2 linked regions of the Schizosaccharomyces pombe genome follow. Changing the gene in region 2 together with the main gene of any one other region gives a genetic interaction. Each region holds a gene or a part of one and is shown on either strand. Other genes may lie near its edges.

Region 1 (8,393 bases), on a different chromosome or scaffold from region 2:
AGAAATAAACTCACCAATCTGATTTATAGTTTTGAGTCCTCCATATTCATAGTGTAATGCCAAGAAACAATTAAGATTATTAATGTGCATAAATTTCTTAGAATTCCAAATTTAAGCAAATTTGGATTAATTTTCCAAGTTACATTGATCGAAGGATCGACTAACGTTGATGTTGTTACTTGTACTTTTGGACTACAGCTAAAGTGAAGTTTACTAAAGAAAATTTCTTAGCAAGGGCGAGCAACCACCATTGTAGGTCAGATACTACTTTTTACAGCAAGGAACCCGAAAAAATGTCAGTTAACCCAAAGGTATGTTAATAATGGTATAAGACTTCTTCTTTGGCTACGAAATAGCTGAAAGCATGCTAGTTTCAAATGCTAGTTTCGTCGGCAATTTTATTACGGAAAATGAACTTTTCCGAAATTTATATTCGTTTTATTGCATACTAACATTGTTAGGCCTTTCCTTTAGCCGATTCTGGCTTAACCCAACAAATTCTCGACTTGGTACAACAGGCCTCTCATTACAAGCAGCTTCGCAAAGGTGCAAATGAGGCTACCAAAACCTTGAACCGTGGTATTAGTGAATTTATAGTAATGGCGGCTGATACCGAGCCCATAGAGATTTTATTGCATCTGCCATTGCTTTGTGAGGACAAGAATGTGCCTTATGTTTTTGTTCCTAGCAAGGCTGCTTTGGGACGTGCTTGTGGTGTAAGTAGACCGGTGATTTCAGCCAGCATTACTACCAATGAGGCTAGTGATTTACTTCCTCAAATTCAAGCTATTAAATTGGCAATAGAGAAATTGCTCATCTAAACTTTTGGATTTTGGGAACAGTTTTCTTTTAATCGAGAATAAAATTTGATTCTTATGGAAGCAGATTGTTATCGAATTTTTTATTTTGTTATTGTAATTTTGTACTGTTTCGCTTTCTATATAATTTCAAGTACTCTGTTTGTAGTCATTTTAATTTTTATTAATTAGCTCGCAAAATACTCAACAAGAAAGATAGTTGAGTGTTTACATATAAGAGCATTACGATTTTAATAAAGATAGTGTATATTTGGTGTTTGATATATATATTTTTTAATATATTTTTCGTGTATGATTCGAAAAGTATCTTCACTAAGCTTGCTTCCAACTTGATTCTGAAATTTTTTCTCTCTAAAGCGTTACAGCTTGTCCACTAAAATAAAAAAAGATATTTGTATTCATTAATAAACTTTACTGTTATCCCATGAGTATCTATTAAAACAAATCCAAATTTATCTAAATTGCGATACGAGCTAGGCTCGCTATTTTCCTTTATTACTTGCTTCTCGTTTGTGTTTACTATCCAAGCGCAATATGCCTACTAAGACTAAGAAAAGGTCCGTTCTTGAGGCTGAACGGAAAAAGATTGGGTAAAAAATTTCTATAGCAAGATGTTTTTACTAACATTTGGTTAATAGACTCGATCATGCTCCCAAGGAGGATGAAAGTGTAGATGACAACTTCCCAAAGCAATTCAAGCGATTGCTACAGCAAAAAGAGTACCATGAATCTAAAAAGAAGGAAATAAAGAAAGGCAACCTTAAAAATAAGAAAAAAAAAGATTATGGGAAAATTCAAAGATTACCCGGTGAACGCCTTAGTGAATTTAGTCAGCGCGTAAATAAGGCTATTCCAGTATCTTTTAAGTCTGGGCCGAGCAAAATAGACGAATTTACTGATAAAAAAGAAAAGAAAAAAATAGCGAAAAGAAAAGAGAAGCGTGAAAGAGACTGGAATGAAATTGAGGAAAATTTTGAAGATAAAACATGGGAGGCGGATACTACTGGGTATGTGTATATCACCAATTTCATTTCGTATAAACTAACATATTAGACAATTTATCCAAATTGAGTCTAGAAAAAAACGAAAAAATTCGCCTGATCCGTGGGCTAATTTACAAACAAAACCTTCCTTTGGAGAAACTGTGCAAGCTCCTCCTGAACTTCCGGAATTAAAAATTAAAGAGACAAAGTACTTGGAAAATGTTCCCAAAGTTAATAATATGGGTCAAACAGAATCTATGGCACGACGCCAAGCTCTAGGAAAGCAGCGTTTGGAACTTATAGAGAAATATAGAGAATTAATGAAAACCAAGCGGAAATAATCTTTTTAATAATGAAAAAAGAATTTATTTCTAATGCTGACTTAAAAATAATTAATTACTTTAAATATACAGCAGGCATTAAATCTAAATTTAATTAATTCAAAAACTCATCCACAATAGCAGATAATTTCGGTCCATAGTGCCCTCTTAGTTCACAAAACTGTTGTGAAAATTCTGGTGTTATCGTATTTGACAATGAAACAACTATTAATAATTTACTAGTCAAATCGCAACATACATGTTCCAATAGCCTTCTATTAAGTGGATTTTTGTCCAAAGAAATTTGTGTATGTGGAGAACTTGCTTGAGTCAAACGCTTGAAGGGGAATTGACCAACTTTGGCATATGTGTATAACCATCCCTCAAGTATTTTTAAAAGAGCATCTAAAAATTGAGGTTTTAAAAAGTTATGCTCCTCAGATACACGATTGTCATCGTTGTAATGTGATGCTTTAACACCTTCTTTCATTATCACTGTTTCCAGAAAAGTTCGGGCTGCCTGGTCAAGTTAGTTTCTTAAATCAAATAATAAGTTGATTTTGTATACCTGAAGTTGCAAAATTTTAGAGCTGTCATTATTCATAATATTAATCAAACAATTAAAAACTTTAGTCTCATCATCCTTCTTTTTTTCCTCATCAGCAGGGTTATCCTTCCTTAGAAAGAACCAAAACAATAGACTCTGTAAAGTATTAATTGCAGAAAACTTCAATGTATCTTCATAGCTATTAGGAACCCGCGAAAGAAGCGAAACAAGCCTTTCATATATTATGTCAAACTCAGGATAGTCAGAAAAATCTTTGAGAGAGGTACATCCCTCGATTCTTGTTAAACAAGCTTCAAAAATAACAAATTCATCTTTTGTTATTACAGCATCTTGAATATTAAAAGATCCAAAATTCTTTAAAAATTCGGTTACCGTCTGGTCGCAAATGTCAGTAACCAGAAGCTTCAAATCTTCTTTCAAAGCAGGAATAGAGTCCAACCGTAAAAATAATATCGTGCAACCTTGAATAATTTGAAGATCATTATTGGTTAGGAAAAATTTTTTTAAATTATTAATTAGAAGTTCAAAATGTCTGGAAAGTTGAGGGTCTGTCATTTCTGTCAAATCCATTGAGAATAACAAACGAAGAGAATCATGAAGAAGTGTTGGTGAAGCAGAATTTCTCTCAGTTATTGAATTAATGTAAGGAAGAAGATTCAAATAAAGTAAGTCCTTATCTTTATTTTGATCGTTGGTCGTTTCCGCCGCTTGCTTATTATGCACCGTTTTAGGTGTGATAAAATTGTTATTACAGACAGTTTGGATTGAAGCAGAGAGAAGCTGTAAAAGAATAGATTCCTGAAAATCATTTAGCTTGCAGAAAGAAAGTATACTGTCTATCGGATCTTTTAGAGTCGAGGTATAATTATCAAAAAGTACGAAGTTGCTAATATCCTCCCATGACTGATAGATTGAATCAATTTCACATGCATTAAGTAAAGCTTGTGTTATAGGAGTAATGAAATTACCATTTTTTTGGAAGATTCGTAATAATGTATCATAATCAAAGCTCGATTGGTAAGACAATCTAACCTCCTCCAAAAGTTTACACATTTGGGAAAATTTTATCCAATGAACTGAAAATGTAGTAAGTGAAGTCTGAGAAAAGGCCTTTAGAATATAGTCTTCTTCACCCCATAAATCAATTTTTTCATTCACACTTTCGTCAACCACTTTGCATAAAAACAGTACGGCTTCACGTTGCACCCTTGGATTGATATCTAAAATTAGCTTCAGCACTTTTAAAATTTCAGAATTTTCTAAAAATCCGCAAGTCCTCATAGCGTTACACAAACGAATGCTGGCTACACGAACTCCAATATCGGCGTCCACACAACTCATCTCGAGTATTCTTTCTTTAAATCTAGAAGAAAAATGTCTTAATCCACCAATAAATGAATCTGTCTCAAAAAATTTGCGCAAAACTTTAACTACAGTTAATCTGACGGTAGTGTTTATGTCTGAAAGCATCCATCCTAGGTATCTTAAATAACTTCCTGAAAAAAATATGCTTGGAACAGTATTAATCCAGACCCCAAGCTCTTGTAAGCAATCTACCCTTATTTTAGGCTCCACGTCTCGATATCGATGGACGAAGACACTAATATAAAGGTTAGTATAAATAAATTAAAGCGTTTGAGGGATCTTTACCTATCAAAGTAGTCATTTAAGTATGTAGTCAATGTATCTTGTTGCTTGACTATTTCACCAAGACTGTTATTAAGTTCGTTGATGCGATTTCTATTTACACGAGAGCGCTTTTCTTCTTTCTCGAGCTGTTTGGTAGCAATTGCATGCTCGTTCAATAGTTCTTTAGATTTTTCACATAAAAAAGTCATAATATTCAAACAGAAAACAGTGGCGGTGTGCCGAATAGGTCTCATCGTAGAAGAAGACATGGCAACGACCCAAGACATAATATCTTCAAAAACAGTGCTATTGTACAAGTAATTTCTTATTGACAACTGTGACACAAAGTTGCTTAAAAGACCGGTCAATCTCTTTCTGAAATTCCTAAACTTAAGATTTTTTGAATTTAAAGGATAATCACGAGTAGAAGTCTTAAAGTTGTTAATATACAAATAAAGTATTTTCGCAAAAGCACTTACACGCTCTACAGAAAGTTGAATTTGAGATAGAGTAGCTGAAGCAGAATCTTGATCCTGAACATCAAACACATTAATGGCACGATTGCAACCACAGCACTAAAATATTTAGTAAAGAAAGAAAAGAATGACTCTACCTTTAAAATAAAGTTAATAAGATTTGCAAGGGCAGATTGATTATCTTTTGCATAGTCAGCAAACCACGAAACCGCGATGTCCATGGTATCAACTTTTTGGTCAAGCAGAAAAGCTTTTCAGTGTTAGTAGCTGAAAAAAAGAAGGACTTTATCATTACCAAATAAGTTGTTAAAAATTTCTTCTTGAGGATCCTCTTCAACTATAGCGTTCCTCCTAGAGCGTTTTACATTTACTCCTTTAGAATTTGGCCGTGGATGCCGTTTTTTTGAGCTTATCGTTTTCTCGTAATCATCATCGCTATTTTCTTCAGAAGATGAATTTGAACTACTGCTCATGGGATCAAAACTTTGAGAAAGCATTACAGGGGAAGATTCTCTGTCTCCTCCATCATCATCAGATCCAGTAGTAACAGACTCACTCATTTGAAGAAAAAAAGAAATAATTTATAAATAAATTAAGAGGTGTAATTAGAAATATTGGAAAGAGTGTAATGAATGCACTATTGGTGTTGTACAATGGAGGTTGTTCACAACCTGTAGTTGATAAAAGCACGAACTTGTCTTGTTCAATAGTGTTAGACAGGATAAATGTGTTTGAAAATCCAAGGATACGAAAGGAAATTTATACTTAACGAAGTTATTACATTAAAATTTTCTTTACCTTGATTGAAACAAATATATACTATTTTCTTTTGGGTCCTGCAAGGTGAACAGCTAACTTATATTCACTCCGCGAGTTGAGATTGTAATTTGACTATACAAGTATAGAATTGTGAGTGAAAGATTCTTTTGACGCGTAATATTTTCGATTATTATTAATAAATGAGATATTTGACAACTTTTCGAGCGCTCATTATATCATAGGCAGAAATACGAAAGTCATCCTTTATGAAAAATTAACAAGTAATTAGAAAACTTTTATCCTTTTTATTTATTCCTCAAGAATTTTAGGCTGTACCCATCTGTAATTGCAAATATGCTTAAACATGACTTTGAAATACGCGTTTTGTTACTTTAACATATTCTGGGTAACGTTTGGTGCATGTGATGGATCACGGACGCGTCGCGTTCACGCGTCACGAAAATCTAATATACTCACGCTACCATCCACTACTTAAATTAAACTGGAACACACGACCTCAAAAGCGGATTAAATTAAGATTCATGATTATACCATGAATATGGACATTGGAAAAGCTTTGAGTGATGTTGGTGGGCTTCGAGATATTACCTCACGTGCAAATAACTCATTACCTCCGACTCCTGATTCTTCTCCCGCAGCACCTTCCAAAAAACATAAGCTTTACGACTTCCTAGAAAGCCGAGGAAAAATTGAAACACCTCGAAAACGCATTGTGTTTGAAAAGAAACCCCTGTTACACAAGCCAGTTCATATTCAAAAAAAACCTGCTCAACTTTGTAAAGAACTTTTAATCAGACAACTGGGAGGTTCCCGGTCGCACCCTTTTAGCACAAAAACTTCTCGTCATGTGGGAGGTAGACTCAATCTCGAAACATATTACTCACGACCTTCGGAATGCTTAATGATGCTGAACCAACTCCCGTTCTGTCTTGGATTTGCTAATAACGAGTCTTTATTGGCCGTATGTACTGAGACTGGAGCTCTTGAGCTGTTTGATTCTCGATTTTACGATAGACAGAATGAGGAAAATCAGCCGTCTGCTCGAAGAATCCATGGCTGGCTTGCTCACAACAATGCTATATTTAGTGTTAATTTCTCTAAAGATGATTCATTATTAGCTACTTCATCTGGCGATCAAACATCAAAGGTATTTGATTTGTCAACGCAACAATGCATCACTCGATTGGGACGACGAGGTGTCGATGGATACCACTCTCATTCAGTAAAGCAGGTTAATTTTTGCAATGATTCTCCTTATAATTTGGTAAGTTGTTCTCGGGATGGTTCCATTATCTTTTGGGATATGCGAACACACGGGATAACAATTGACGGTGAGCATTTTCAGAAACCAGTGTTAAGGATAAGAAAAGCACATGAAAATTCGGGAAGGGATTGCTCAATTACCTCAGCTACGTGGCTCCCTCAATCTACTTCGCAAGTTATATCGTCCTGCTCTGCAAACTCGGCCTTAAAGTTATGGGATTTACGAACTGTACATACCGTCCGACCTTTACCTGCTGCTACTACTCCCGAATTAACTACTTCAAAACGCGATTTTGGTGTTACTAATGTTTGTACTTCTCCTGACGGTGAGCGTATTTATGCTGCTTCCAGAGATAGTATCATTTATGAATATTCATCTCGTCACTTAAACTCCGGATTTTGCAAGACTTACAAAGACCCTAGACTCAGAATTTCTTCATTCTACGTAAAGTTGGCGTGCAGTCCTGACGGAGCAACTTTAGCCTGCGGTGGAGGCGTTCAAGACAAGACTAGTGGTGTTGTTGTTTTTGACACAACAAGAAACTGTTCATCGTCTGCTATGCTCACAGGTGGTCATACTAAGGATGTTACTGCAGTTGATTGGTCTAGTGAAGGTCAATTGGCAAGTATTTCAGACGATGGGAGCGTTCGCGTATGGAATTCTTCTCTGCATGGAAGTGCGGCTAACCTTAGAGAAAAGAATTTTTCGGAGATTTTTTATTGGGGATTTAGTGAAAAATGAAAATTATCACGCATAGCAATGTCTCAATATTCGGCTTGTTTCTCTTGAAAAGAAGACTATAAGTGAGGCTTCATAATATTTTGTCAAAAATAACGACTATTCCCTAATGCATTTGAATATTATTAGGATTCTTTCTTTTTCCATATCTATTTAATCCTTTGATTTGTCATTTTTTTGCTTCCGCTGGATGCTTTATAAGCTTTTTCTGTTTACCAAAGCTTAATGCATAAAATTAGTTTGCAATTTTTTTTTGTTGACAATTATTTTTTTTTTTGGAAGCAATCAAAATACCAGTCAATATATGCAATCCAAATTAGATGTTTTTTCCTCACCGTTAATCGAACTCCTATTCCTAAACAAACGTTCAGTTTAATAGTTTTTTATATACTAATAATGATTATTCAACACTTAAAAGAAATCCATTATTTAATCAGCGCTAGCGCTAAATTATTACTAGCAAGCAACTATTTACTAGAACTTCTTATTTCTCATAATATACAATTTAGCCCTATACGTTCATTTTTTATAATTATGGTCTAAGGATATTTTACGAAGTTGCAAACAATAATAACTAATTCTATACAAAATAGATGTGGCTAGCTATTTCAGCTTTTATTTTACTCATTTTATACTTATACACTTTATTTGGCAATTTGTTGTAACAATTAAAATAAACGCAAACTACAGATCATAAGTTGTCGAAATGATTTTGGTGCACTTCAATTGGCCTCGAACATTTTAATTTTTATGGATTATGGTATATTAAATTTATAAAACTAAGACATGCCACGAGCCTTGTTCCTAAAAATGCTCA
Region 2 (11,864 bases):
TATCAATTAATGCTGGAGATGCGCTTTTTGTCCTATAAGAGTATCTTCCCGGACGAGATGAGTCCTGTGATGCTTCCAATATTCTCCTTCGGCGCTCACTTCCAATGTCAAAGGTTCGAAAATTACTATTAAAAGATGATCTAGCTCCCTTGGCTGTTTCAGAGGGAGATCCTTCAATGCTAATATCCTCTGACGTTGAACCATTGGCACTTCTTTTTGGAGATTTAGACGCGCTTCTCTTTACATTAAACCCAGAAAACGTATTGGGAGAAAAAGACTTGTGGTAATTACTTGGAATATAAATACTACCTGCTGTAACAGGACGAGCATATCGATTTACGTATGCATCTCCGTCTGGATCTAGTACACTTGAACCAGTATCTTGCTTGCTGCTTGGCAATGGTAAAGAAAGACCTCGTTCAAAACTATCGGTATTATTTCTCCGGATAGCAGGAGTAGAAGGAGCACTTGTACCTACATTTCTATTATCGAATTGAAATCCGACGGTAGTGTTTGGTCGAGGTTTTTTTGATATCTAATCATTAATGCCAGCAAGCTGAACCCTTAACTAGTGAAAAGGGGGCAGCCCAAGCAACACTTGTTAGCAAATCATTATTTCAAACAGGCAAGATAGGGTAGTACTCGGAAAGAAAGGCTCCATTCAACAAATTGAACAGCTGCAATTTGCGTACAGGTGCAACTTTCATGTCTTACATAAAGAATAAGAGAAACTACCTCTGATCTTCTTAAAAAATTAGCATACCTCGGATGTCTCAGGTCTCCAAAAAGAAGGAATAGCAGGGCTTTCAGATAAAGCCGACATGCAATCAAATAAAAGAAAAAGATCAATTAGAGCCAAAAAAGAGAGTAAAAAGAATATCCAAAACTGGGAATTGGGAAACCGGTGTTTGGCTAACAATTAGTAGTACGCGGATCGCGACGCTAATTTCCTCAGTTGAGCTGGTATCGTGTTAAATATTTTGTAAAAGAATATTTCCCTCTTTTTAGTAATGTTCATGGAACAATTGGTGAAAAACATAATATTAAAAGGTCACAAGAAAATTTTTATAGCTAAAATATTCTTTTAAAAATAATTCGAGCAAGTTCTCAGGCAGGTGTAGGAAATAGATGGATATTTAATAGAAATTACCCTTGAGAGCAAATAGAGCTGATTCCTTTATCCATGTAAGATGGAAACATAACTTTTGACGTCCCCAAGAACATGCACTCTTAGATAGGTAAGCACATCAGTGATGGAGTAAGTGTTGATATATCCAGGTATTGCAGACGAGTAACAATAATGAAAGTTGAAATGGAGAATTGTTTACAGCATGATATCCTGTTCTTCAATTTTTATGCAATTTGAGTCCCCAACAATTGAATCGATCAAATGGGAGAACCCACTAAATTATTGAAGAGTATTTTGAAAAAATAGTTGAGGTATAAAATACCCAAGAATTCAACCATTAAACGATAAAATCAACCGAGAATGCGCTTTTGCTGATATGAATTTATATGAAACTTCTTCTTTGCTTTTCAGAATAAAGTTATACATACAAATAAACAATTATTTACGCCGAAAGCAATCAAAGATCCTTAGAGTATTACTTATTCTCTTAAAAAAAATTAGAGCATTACTACTTCTGGTTAAAGTCAGATTCACACTTTGTTCAATTATCAAACACATCCCATGGATTGCTTTTTTCGGTACCTTCCTTGTCAAAGAAACAAAAATTAAACTTAAAAAGAGAAAAAACAAGATCTTTACGAAACTGAATTAGTTTAATTTGATGCATGAACGTAAATGATAACTAGATATTTGAGGTCAACATGTCAGTCTACTGCAGCAGAAGTTTTAACAAAAACAAAAAGAATAAGATTTTGGCAACAAACAGCTTTTTTTTTTTTTAATTATCATTTTTCGGACTTATCATGTTTGTATAGGAGAAACTCACATTTCAAAGAATTCATAACACTATCATCTCCACAACCTACATAGTAACCACCAAATGCGAAATTGGTTCGAGAGCAACTCACCAATTTAAAACATCCTCTCTCTTATCTAGCAATTAAATTTTTATATACCAGTTCCTTCATTTACCAAGGAAATCTGATAAAGACCCAGACTTATTTAGTCTTGCTTATTGACCGGTTTATCACTTCTTCATTCATTTGACTTTAGGAAAAAGCATCGAGAAATCAACATGTCTTTTTTTACCCAGTTGTGTTCTATGGATAAAAAATATTGGATCTCTCTAGCTGTATTGTCAGTTACTGTTTTGATTAGCGCATTATTGAAAAAGAGAGCTACTGAAACCGAAGATATTGTCGTTGTTCATTACGATGGCGAAAAGTTGAATTTTGTGTTGCGACAACCAAGGCTGAATATGGTTTCTTACACTAGTTTTCTTCGTCGCGTGTGCAACGCATTTTCAGTAATGCCCGACAAAGCGTCTCTCAAGTTAAACGGGGTGACCCTCAAGGATGGTTCACTTTCCGACCAAAATGTGCAAAATGGAAGTGAATTAGAGCTCGAATTACCCAAACTGAGCCCGGCAATGCAACAAATTGAAGCATATATAGATGAGCTTCAACAGGATCTCGTCCCTAAAATTGAAGCCTTCTGCCAATCGTCTCCCGCTTCGGCACAAGATGTTCAAGATTTGCATACACGCCTTAGTGAAACATTGTTGGCTAGGATGATAAAATTAGATGCTGTTAATGTTGAAGACGACCCAGAAGCTCGTCTTAAAAGAAAAGAAGCTATTCGTTTATCTCAACAATATTTGAGTAAACTAGATTCCACCAAGAATCAAAACAAATGAAAAATGTGTTATAATTTAACAATTCTTAGTTGCTTGGGAGACGATGGTTCCGTCGGCTATGGTTTTTTGGATATGTAAAAACTGATTGACTAAACAACTCCTACAATATTTTTCCGTTTCTAACAACTTCTATACCAAGGTTCTGCAAACAACTTGTAGCACCCAATTTTAAGTTTTTATGCTGGCTTGAATTTTTGTTTTTCTTTTTTTGATACCGCTTGCTCCTCAACTATTAAACTGTTCTACTCTCAATTTATACATAATCTTTAAGCATTCATAATGCCATATTTTCTATTTTTGTCGTTACAACTGTTTTTTCTTACATTTGCTCAACTGCAGCCGTATCATTAATTTTTGTAAACATTCGTCATTGCTTTTTGTTTCTTCCGGAAGGTTGGATAGTCATAGTGTTACAAATTCAAAATACTTTTTCTTATGATAAATGGATTTCAAAACTGTATACCAATTCTAGCATATCAACTCCACATCCTTTACTTCCTTCGTAATCACTTAACAAAAACTCAACGTTCCAATGTTTTATACCATTAATATCGAAGAGTGAAATTTAGAACAGCTGGTTATTTTGAAATTTAAGAACCATGTCTATTTAAAACTAAGGTTAAAAGTATTTTATCATTATTATTTGACTTGACTGCATCGTCAATGTATTATGTAGACTTATTAAACGTTACTCAATATTTATGTAACATGTTTTCCCCTTTCCCATTTATAAATAGTTTAATTTCCTCAAATACTTTATACAGCCCTCCTGAAAAGTCATACATATATTAGCATTTGTCCACCAACATTCAATATATTTTTAATATTATATATCGGTATTTATCGGTGTATCAGAACACGAATAATATGCGTTGTAATTCGTAATAAATATTTACAACGTCTTGTGTGTCGTAATGTGAACAAGTGAGCATACTTCAAGTTCATTGTATGTTTCATATATGAACACAGAAATTACATGCTTTTTAAAAGCTGAAAATTTTAATCAGAGTATAATAAAATGGTAACTATTTTTGTTTTAAGACAAACATTAACCGTTAGACTGCCATTTTTAACTTTGAAAGTTTGCTTTTCGTTATACTATTAACGATCTGCACATGTACTTATTTACACCGTCAATTCCCTGCTTTATTAGAAAAAAGAAAAGAAGGGTAAGCCTAAATGATTATTAGATATATAATATTTTAGTTTTGAGGGATATGGAATTGCTAATAAGTTGACAGCGTGACAATGGTATTCTGGAAATGCGCTCGAATTGGTGAGCGAGCTAGTCCGGTGAGTTTTAGCTATTTCACTAGCTAATTATCCTTTTTAAAAAAGGCTAGATCTAACATCTATCTTTAGTATATATCACTATTTTGTGTTTTTATGGCTTTACGATTTATTTTCGGTTCCTCATAAGTTATTAAAATTTTAGCTTTCTGGCTAGCTTATGACAGTGAAGAGAAGAAAATACTTTACAAACAGTTTTATTTCTTTTGCTTACACTTTTCATTTCTAAATAGCTGGTAATCAAGAATAATTCGACCTTTTTGTCGTTTATGTTGCACAAATCCATCCCGCACGAAAATTATTATATCAATTCTACGCCCATTTCATTCTTTCATCCTTATATTACCTTTTTACTCACATCCATTTTCATATCTTTATACGCCTGTGTCTATTGTGTTAATAAAAGATGTTAACTGTAAAGAATAACATATAAACAAGATGGATTGGTTGATTTTTGATTTCGATCTATCTATCAGTATAACTCTCATTTACTATAAAAACTAGAATAACACCCTGTTATGGCTTGTTCATATTGACTTCTGACCGATTTGGGTATCGTTTATTTAATTACTTAATTCAATTGCTTAAAATGTATCAAGCAAACCAAGGCACAATTATCCTAAAGCTGCGAAATCTATTGTACTAATGGTTGTGAATAGTAGTACTCACAACTTGTATGCGTGTTTACTCAAACCACGAATTTTTTTTCCATATATAAAAAATAAAAACGGTATAGGAATCATTCCTACTGAAATAAAACCAAGTAAACTAGTTGCCCAATGGTCTCCTAAATTCACATACATGGGCCTGCCTACTAGACTCATTCCTCCACTAGCTGCATAACGGACAAGCGTAGCAGCAGCTAAAGCACTTGCAGCCAGTTTTTGATAGGAATCAATTATGTAATTATAGGAAACAAAAAATACAAACAAAAGCGACCAGCCAAAGAAGATACTTGATATCAATGGAACTATCCAATGCACGTAAGGATGGTATGGGTAACAGGTCCATGCAAACCAAAACATGGAAATCGGTAGCATTATGGATCCAAAGAAAAGAGGGTATAGACGGTCTTCTGGAGACATAACCCCATTCCTTCTTGTATAAACTCGATTGTAGTGTACGTAGATGATGGGCGTGCAGGCACCTGCTAAAACAATACCTATTCCAATTCCAATAAACGATAAACCAATTTCTCCCTGATCGAAAGAGTACTTGGCAAATACTATAGGGTAGCCTTCAAAGTCAATATAACCAATGATGTACACGACAGTCAGATAAAGTGTAAAGCAGACTACAATAGGTTCGGTAATCAATAAAGAGACAGAATCAGTACAAGCTTGATATATTGCACTCCTTGGATTCCGCTGTCTTTCGTGAATGGTATGCCATTTCATATTTCTGGTCTTATTACGCAGATACCGAGCTTTATAGTCTAAAATGGTATCCCCATGAGTTTCCGGCATGAAGAAAAAAATAATGACAATTACCACGGCTCCCATGATCATATTTATCCAAAACACCCAACACCAACCCAAGTAGCTCTGACAAATAAAATCACCAATGATGGGTCCAAAAATGGGGCCAAGAAAAGGGAAGGTGCAAAAGCCAGGAAGTACATACGTTCTTTGTATGGGAGTAAATAAATCACTTAGAGTACCACCGCAATTTGATAAAGGCGTACTACCGAAAAATCCTTGAAAAAAACGTAAAATAACCAATGTCCATATATTTTGTGCGCAACCTCCACCAATTTGAAATAGGGTAAACATCAACAACGTACAAAAATAAACAACAAATCTTCCATAGATACCACTGAGAGGAGCAAATGGTAACGATCCAAACCCGAAGCCAACCAAGAAGACACAAGAGCCTAAAGAAGAAACAGAAATCGATACCCCAAAGTCCATTGAAACATTACCGATACCTGAAGAGTATACGCTCGATCCAAAAGTTACCACAAATGCTATTAAGGATATTTGAACTACAACAATCCATTTCTTCCACATTGGCCAATTTTTGGGATTTAAGGGATCATCAATGCTATCCCATCTTACTAAATAAAAATCACTTACATCCTCGGAGCTCTCTTCAAAAGTAACACCGCATTTTTGAATTTCAGGCATTACTGTTCCTAATGAAACCACCATTTTACGGGTAGCGTCAATAGCACCAACAACACCTTCATTCAATGCATTTCCAACATCCTTCACATTTACTCCGTTATTGGATATACAGTCAGACTTTACAACCCCAAACTTTCTGCCGCTTGCTAAAAGATACAGATCCATTTCTTTCTTATCGCTTAATTTGCGCTCCTAAGCCAGACGTAGAGGTAATAGGCAAAGTCTCCCTTATATAGTAAATATAGTTTGAAAAACAGTCACTGCAAATGCTGTTGTGGTAAGCAGTTGCAAAATCAGCATGAAAAAGCTATGAGTATTGAAATTTAAAAGATAAGAAATTGATCCTATAGTTATAAATAAATGATTTCTTCTTCATGAAAAGTAATACAATGATTCTATAACGCAATGGAACGTGCTTCTTTATTTCAGTTCAAAAACTGTATTAAGTTGTATAAATATTCAAAAATTGTCACAGCGTTTTCATTATCTACTCTAATTCATCCATACATTTTGGTCGAATCAAGGAAGAAGACACAGACCATGTAGTACAGTCTTGTCGATTTTCATCATCTCTTACCAATACAAAAGTCGTACTTTGAAATCGTAATGTACAATCTTGGATAAAACCAAAGAAAACATGACTAGCATAGAAGAGAAAAAAAAATGATATTAATAACGATTCATGTAAAGTATCACGCCATGGACTAAACAATCGTTGAATAGTAAAGTAGTAACGTAAGTCAAACTGGAAAAGGGTTAGAGAACGGTCGAACGTAAGAGTAAAGACAAATTACATATAAGTAATAGTGAATATACAATTTAATTCAAGGGTTAATAACTTCCCAAAAATGATTAAGGTAGTTCAGACTTTCTTCAAGAGAAATACTTTATCCTGCATGATAAATTCTAAAAGTCGCAAACTCAATCCAGCTGAGTTAAGGAGCAAACTTGAAAAGTTATTTAGGTGAATGAAAGGAAAATTTATTAGAAGAAGTAAGACTTAGACTCATAAGCTCATAAACATAGAAAAGCAACACAATGAATTAACGAAGGAGATTTGTCAACCTAATTATAAAAATGCATAGGAAGGATGGCATTTGAAAAAGGCTGCTATGCCAAAATAAGCAAGGGATTAAGGAAGAAGACGAATGCTCTGAAAAGGGAAAACGAAATGGCTACTATGCCTTACCTTTTCAAATGTGCACCAGCTCCACTGTACAATGATTTCCATAGGAAAGCTTCAGATAGTAAAATTTCGATATCCTTTGTGCTCCAATCTTTTGTCGGAATAGACTGCAGAAAAATTAATATATCCTGAAATTCCATCTTTTGTAATTCACTCGACCATTTCACTAAAAATGCAGCACATACGTAGAGGTGAAACTCAGAAAATCCTTGGACACCTTCCGCCATGTATGTATCCCACATCCGAATGATATTCGAAATACTAAGCTCGCGCATTAAAAGACAGTTCATCCAGCGAAAACTAAACTGAAGGAAATCAACACCCTCCATTTGAAGATGTTTTACTAATGGCTCATCTATACGTAAAGTAAGCTCTCGCAGATTATTCACCTGTCGACGGATTCCAGGCTGTGCATGTATATAGTTATCTTGGATACCATCTAACAATTTAGAAAGACACCAGTAAGCATCAGCCTCAATATCATTACGATTAGTTTCATCAAGAAGAGCAATGTCATATGTCATTGGGTCCTTATCGCCGATATATTCGGACAAAAACACCTGAATAAAAGGAGTAACTAAATCGCTGATGCCTTGTACATATCCGCTGGCTGGGTGCCGTGAGGCCCAAACATATAAAATACGCTCAAGCATACGCTGCGTCAATGGGTTTTGGTAAAGAAGAATAGAGGGGTTCGTCCTCGGAACGTCAAGGACAATTTGTCGCCAAATAGTTTGATCCAAAGGTGGTGGCTCTGTATTTGTATTAAAGCAGGAATCTTTTGCTGCGTTATATTCGTCTCTCTTTCGCTTTAAAGTGACTTCACGACGAGAAGCATTACAAGGTAAATATCCTAACAAGTATTTCCAGACAATAGGTCTATGTTCGGAGGGAATTCCATTCCAAGCCAATGTACGAAGCGCATTTAAATCCACAATTGGAGCATCAAGAATTCGCGAAAACTTCTTGATCCGAGAGACAAGCGCATTGCTTTCAGCAACCTCAACTTCTACAGAACGATGGGCTAGTTTAGCGGGTAAAGGAAAACGACCAGACGAATGAAGCTTTTGTCTAGAAGTGGTAGTATCCACGCCATTTTGAGGAAATAAGGAGCGGCTTGAAGAATTTGGAGTAGTACTTCGAGCCATACGAGGAAGAGATTTTGAGGCTTTAATATTCGAAACTCCCCAATCGTCATCTGTCTGTGACAAATATTTGGCAAACTTTGCAGACACTTTTTTGCCTACAACAGCTTCCAAGGAAAGAGAAGATCTCGCAGAAGGTGCATAGATTTTAGACTCACTAGCAGATTCGGGTCTAGTTATGGACCGGGCCAAAGAGATATGATCTTTTGGGGGTTGATCTGAGTAAACAGAGTCGTCCAATCTGAACGGTTGAGCTTTGGAAGAAGTGCTTCGACCACGATGGTGATGGGTCCGGCTTCGATCCAAAACAGTAACTGGATCCGAAGTGGCGCTAGAGGATCCATTCCATAAGCTGGAGAGAGTTTTTAAGGCGGACGACTTTTTTGACTGAGATTCCATAGTGGAAAATCTTAAAATACGAGAAGAAAAATTGTTTTTACAAAATGAAGCAGTAATTTGATAGCCTTGATGGACACAACAAATTTAGCAAATAACAGATACTCTTTGAATTTATCGCCAAAATAAAATACTTTTGGTTAAGATGCAAAAAACAGTTTCAAAATTTGCTGTAAAAAGTAGATGAAACGTTTTAGAAGGCAATAACTTCAAATGTTTAACGACGAAGGATCTTAGGCACCACTCATAGACTTACCGGACTTGAAGTCTTATTCTTTTCTTATCAAATGAAAACTATTTTCAAAAAAAAAAAACTTAAGCTATTAGAAGCAAAGCCGTGTCTGTGGGTTCCATCCAAACGAAAACGCACCAGCTCGAGATCTTGTGATCTATTAGAACAGCGCGGAATTTGAACACGAACAAATGTTTCGAGAAAACCTTAGATACAATCCAATACACTAGTATATTTACAAATTTTAACCGAATATCAACGAAATTGTGAAGATTTACTCGGTCTGTGCAGTTGCCAAGGCAGTTGCCCTTATTTGGTGGAAGAACAAAACAATAGGGAGGAAAACAGTAGGTGTATGGAGTTTCTTATATATGAGGTTTTTTTAATAAAAGGAGCAAGGTTTAATACTTTAATTATTTATCTCACTTTTTAGTTAAAGGAAATTCGTTTTAAGCCATGAACAGTTGATAGAAGGATTTTGGCCGTGCATGGTCTTATTGCTTGGGAATGTTGGGTTTATATGCGCAGAGTAGTAAAAGATACACAGCTAGGTCTCATTTAACAATGTTTATATCTATGAGTTCTATCTCTTCTTTACTTAAGTTGCTGCCAGTAAAAGTGAACAATGTAATTTTGACAATTGTGACTAGTCGCTTTTCAAAACAAAAAAGAGAAAAGTATAAACGTTGATTAAGAAACGTAAAAAAGTATTTCCTGTCAATAATGAATCTCTGATTTTATTGTTATTTTTCGTATTGACATCCTAGTTACCTAATATAATACGATGAATTATAAGCATTTTAATACCTACTAAGTTTAAATTTTCCTGAAATACAGTCTAAGATTTTCCTGTTCCTATATATTTCTAACAAAACACATTTTTCAAGTAGATGATCAACGAATCTAGTCTAACTTTCAATCCCAGTCTTTTTTTTAGCAGTTTCGGGTATTTGTTTTCAAACATGTATTTATATCTTTGATTCAGTAAAATTACTTCAACAAATGCATTGAAGAGGAATGATTTAAAAAACATATACGGTTTTCAATGTTTTAATGAACAGAGCAATTTTCCAAATGTTGTCTTGTCAAGAAATTGTAATGTATGTTCTCCAAAACTGACATGAGAACAAAATAAATATGTACTAAGATAAATTTTATATTGAGAACAATCAAAAATTATAGTAAGTTTAATAATCATCCAAAAAACACTTTCCTTCTCTCGTTTACATCTTGGAAAACACTCTAGAGTATCGTTATTCATTGTGATGAAATCGAAACTACAACTCCAATCCAATAATAAAGGTTACTGTATGACAATAAAATAAACCATACATCTTCCCTTTAAGTCGTATTACGACTTGTAAGAAGATTTCCTGGTTGCCAAAATATCATTCATAGTACACAATAATATTATGTGCAAAGGTATTGAAATGAATAAGTACGAATCAAGGTAAATGATTATTATTCCCAAATGAGCTCAAACAAAAAGCAAAAAGAATAAAAGGAAGCCTACAGCACCCCGGATTCCCATGTTGTCTCCAACCATAGTACTAACGAGGCCCTCAGACGCTTAACTGCAGTGATCGGACGGGAACTGGTGTTTTCGCCTAGGTATGGCCGTAGACGTTTAAAGTAGAATATTTAAACATTTTAAAGAAAAAATTAATAATCAGTCAGAGTACTGTCGATTCACTAGAAATTTTCTATTTATTGTTTATATATTCATACAGTAAGATCGTGAAGTATTCAAATCCTTGGTATATAGAATATTATCTTCATGCATTCAAAGATCGTTTAGGAGCTATTTGTACAAGCTACTTGGTGCATATTTGTCTGTTTATATTGCAAAGTCAAGAATTTTAACATAGAGAAAGAATAAAATGAAATGGAATAAAGAAATGTTAAATAATGTTATGAATCAGACTTGTTCTTGAATTGCTAGTCATAACAACTTCTATAAGACTCAACACGTTTACGCGCTTTTTATGAATGTAATACGTTAGACAAATTAAATAGACAAGTACAGTCTATGTGTCATTGACTCAACACTTAAGCATTTATATGATCTACAAAGATGAAGTCTATAACATGATCTATCACGTATTATGAATGCTTAGCCATGGCTGCTTTAAGAAGATCATCTTTTAATCCATAAAACAACATTGTTTTGGCACGAAGCGAATGATCCGTTTTGCTTCGCTTTGCTGGAATAAAAATGAAGCTGTCAGAACGAATCCTATACATCGTTAAAATAGAGTTATTAACAAAGGAAAACAAATAAGTTCAATTTGTTGCTCTTGTTATGCCATCAAACGCTCGCCTATATACGCTTCATCTTACTCCCATTACTTGCCAATGCTAATAGATTCATACATCTGCAAAGGCTCACCTCTACTTATTAAGAACAAAACAGAGTGGTTTTAACTCATTATCTATTAGGAGAAAAAGCCAGAATATATTTTTATTAATATTTCTAATCTAAAAAAGTGAATTATCGAGTCGTTTTTTCTTTTTCACTATTCAGTCTGTTGGGTCACTTTGGTAGACCTAGCGTAATATCTAATTGTCGTACCTATTACTTGAAGTCTTGAACTTCATAATTTTTAAAAGTTACGCGAAAAATGTCTTCTGATACGAAAACACTGGAAAATAGCAAAGGCAATA

What was found.
Region 1: mutations in bag102 (region 2) and cdt2 together harm fitness less than expected from each alone (positive genetic interaction), as found in Schizosaccharomyces pombe (2 studies listed by BioGRID).

The regions. Positions count from the first base shown.
Region 1 is NC_003424.3:2,033,364-2,041,756, reverse strand, and holds cdt2 (WD repeat protein Cdt2), read left to right. Parts: upstream 1-6,052; 5' UTR 6,053-6,106; coding exon 6,107-7,579; 3' UTR 7,580-7,801; downstream 7,802-8,393. Other genes in the region: U3 snoRNP-associated protein Snu13, read left to right, coding at 294-311, 462-821; SPOM_SPAC607.02C (uncharacterized protein), read left to right, coding at 1,353-1,408, 1,457-1,825, 1,872-2,142; mitotic cohesin complex non-SMC subunit Psc3, read right to left, coding at 2,237-2,641, 2,690-4,289, 4,340-4,749, 4,798-4,893, 4,932-5,044, 5,090-5,354; SPOM_SPAC17H9.18C (uncharacterized protein), read left to right, coding at 7,802-8,119. UniProt on the Schizosaccharomyces pombe protein: Substrate-specific adapter of a DCX (DDB1-CUL4-X-box) E3 ubiquitin-protein ligase complex required for DNA replication during mitosis and meiosis.
Region 2 is NC_003423.3:782,220-794,083, reverse strand, and holds bag102 (BAG family molecular chaperone regulator Bag102), read left to right. Parts: upstream 1-2,000; 5' UTR 2,001-2,204; coding exon 2,205-2,825; 3' UTR 2,826-3,420; downstream 3,421-11,864. Other genes in the region: Tea1-anchoring protein Mod5, read right to left, coding at 1-535, 764-823; protein ksh1, read left to right, coding at 3,844-3,846, 3,885-3,994, 4,067-4,118, 4,188-4,244; SPOM_SPBC530.02 (transporter), read right to left, coding at 4,781-6,406; GTPase-activating protein Gyp1, read right to left, coding at 7,427-8,971; CENP-A chaperone, NASP family, Sim3, read left to right, coding at 11,822-11,864. UniProt on the Schizosaccharomyces pombe protein: Inhibits the chaperone activity of HSP70/HSC70 by promoting substrate release.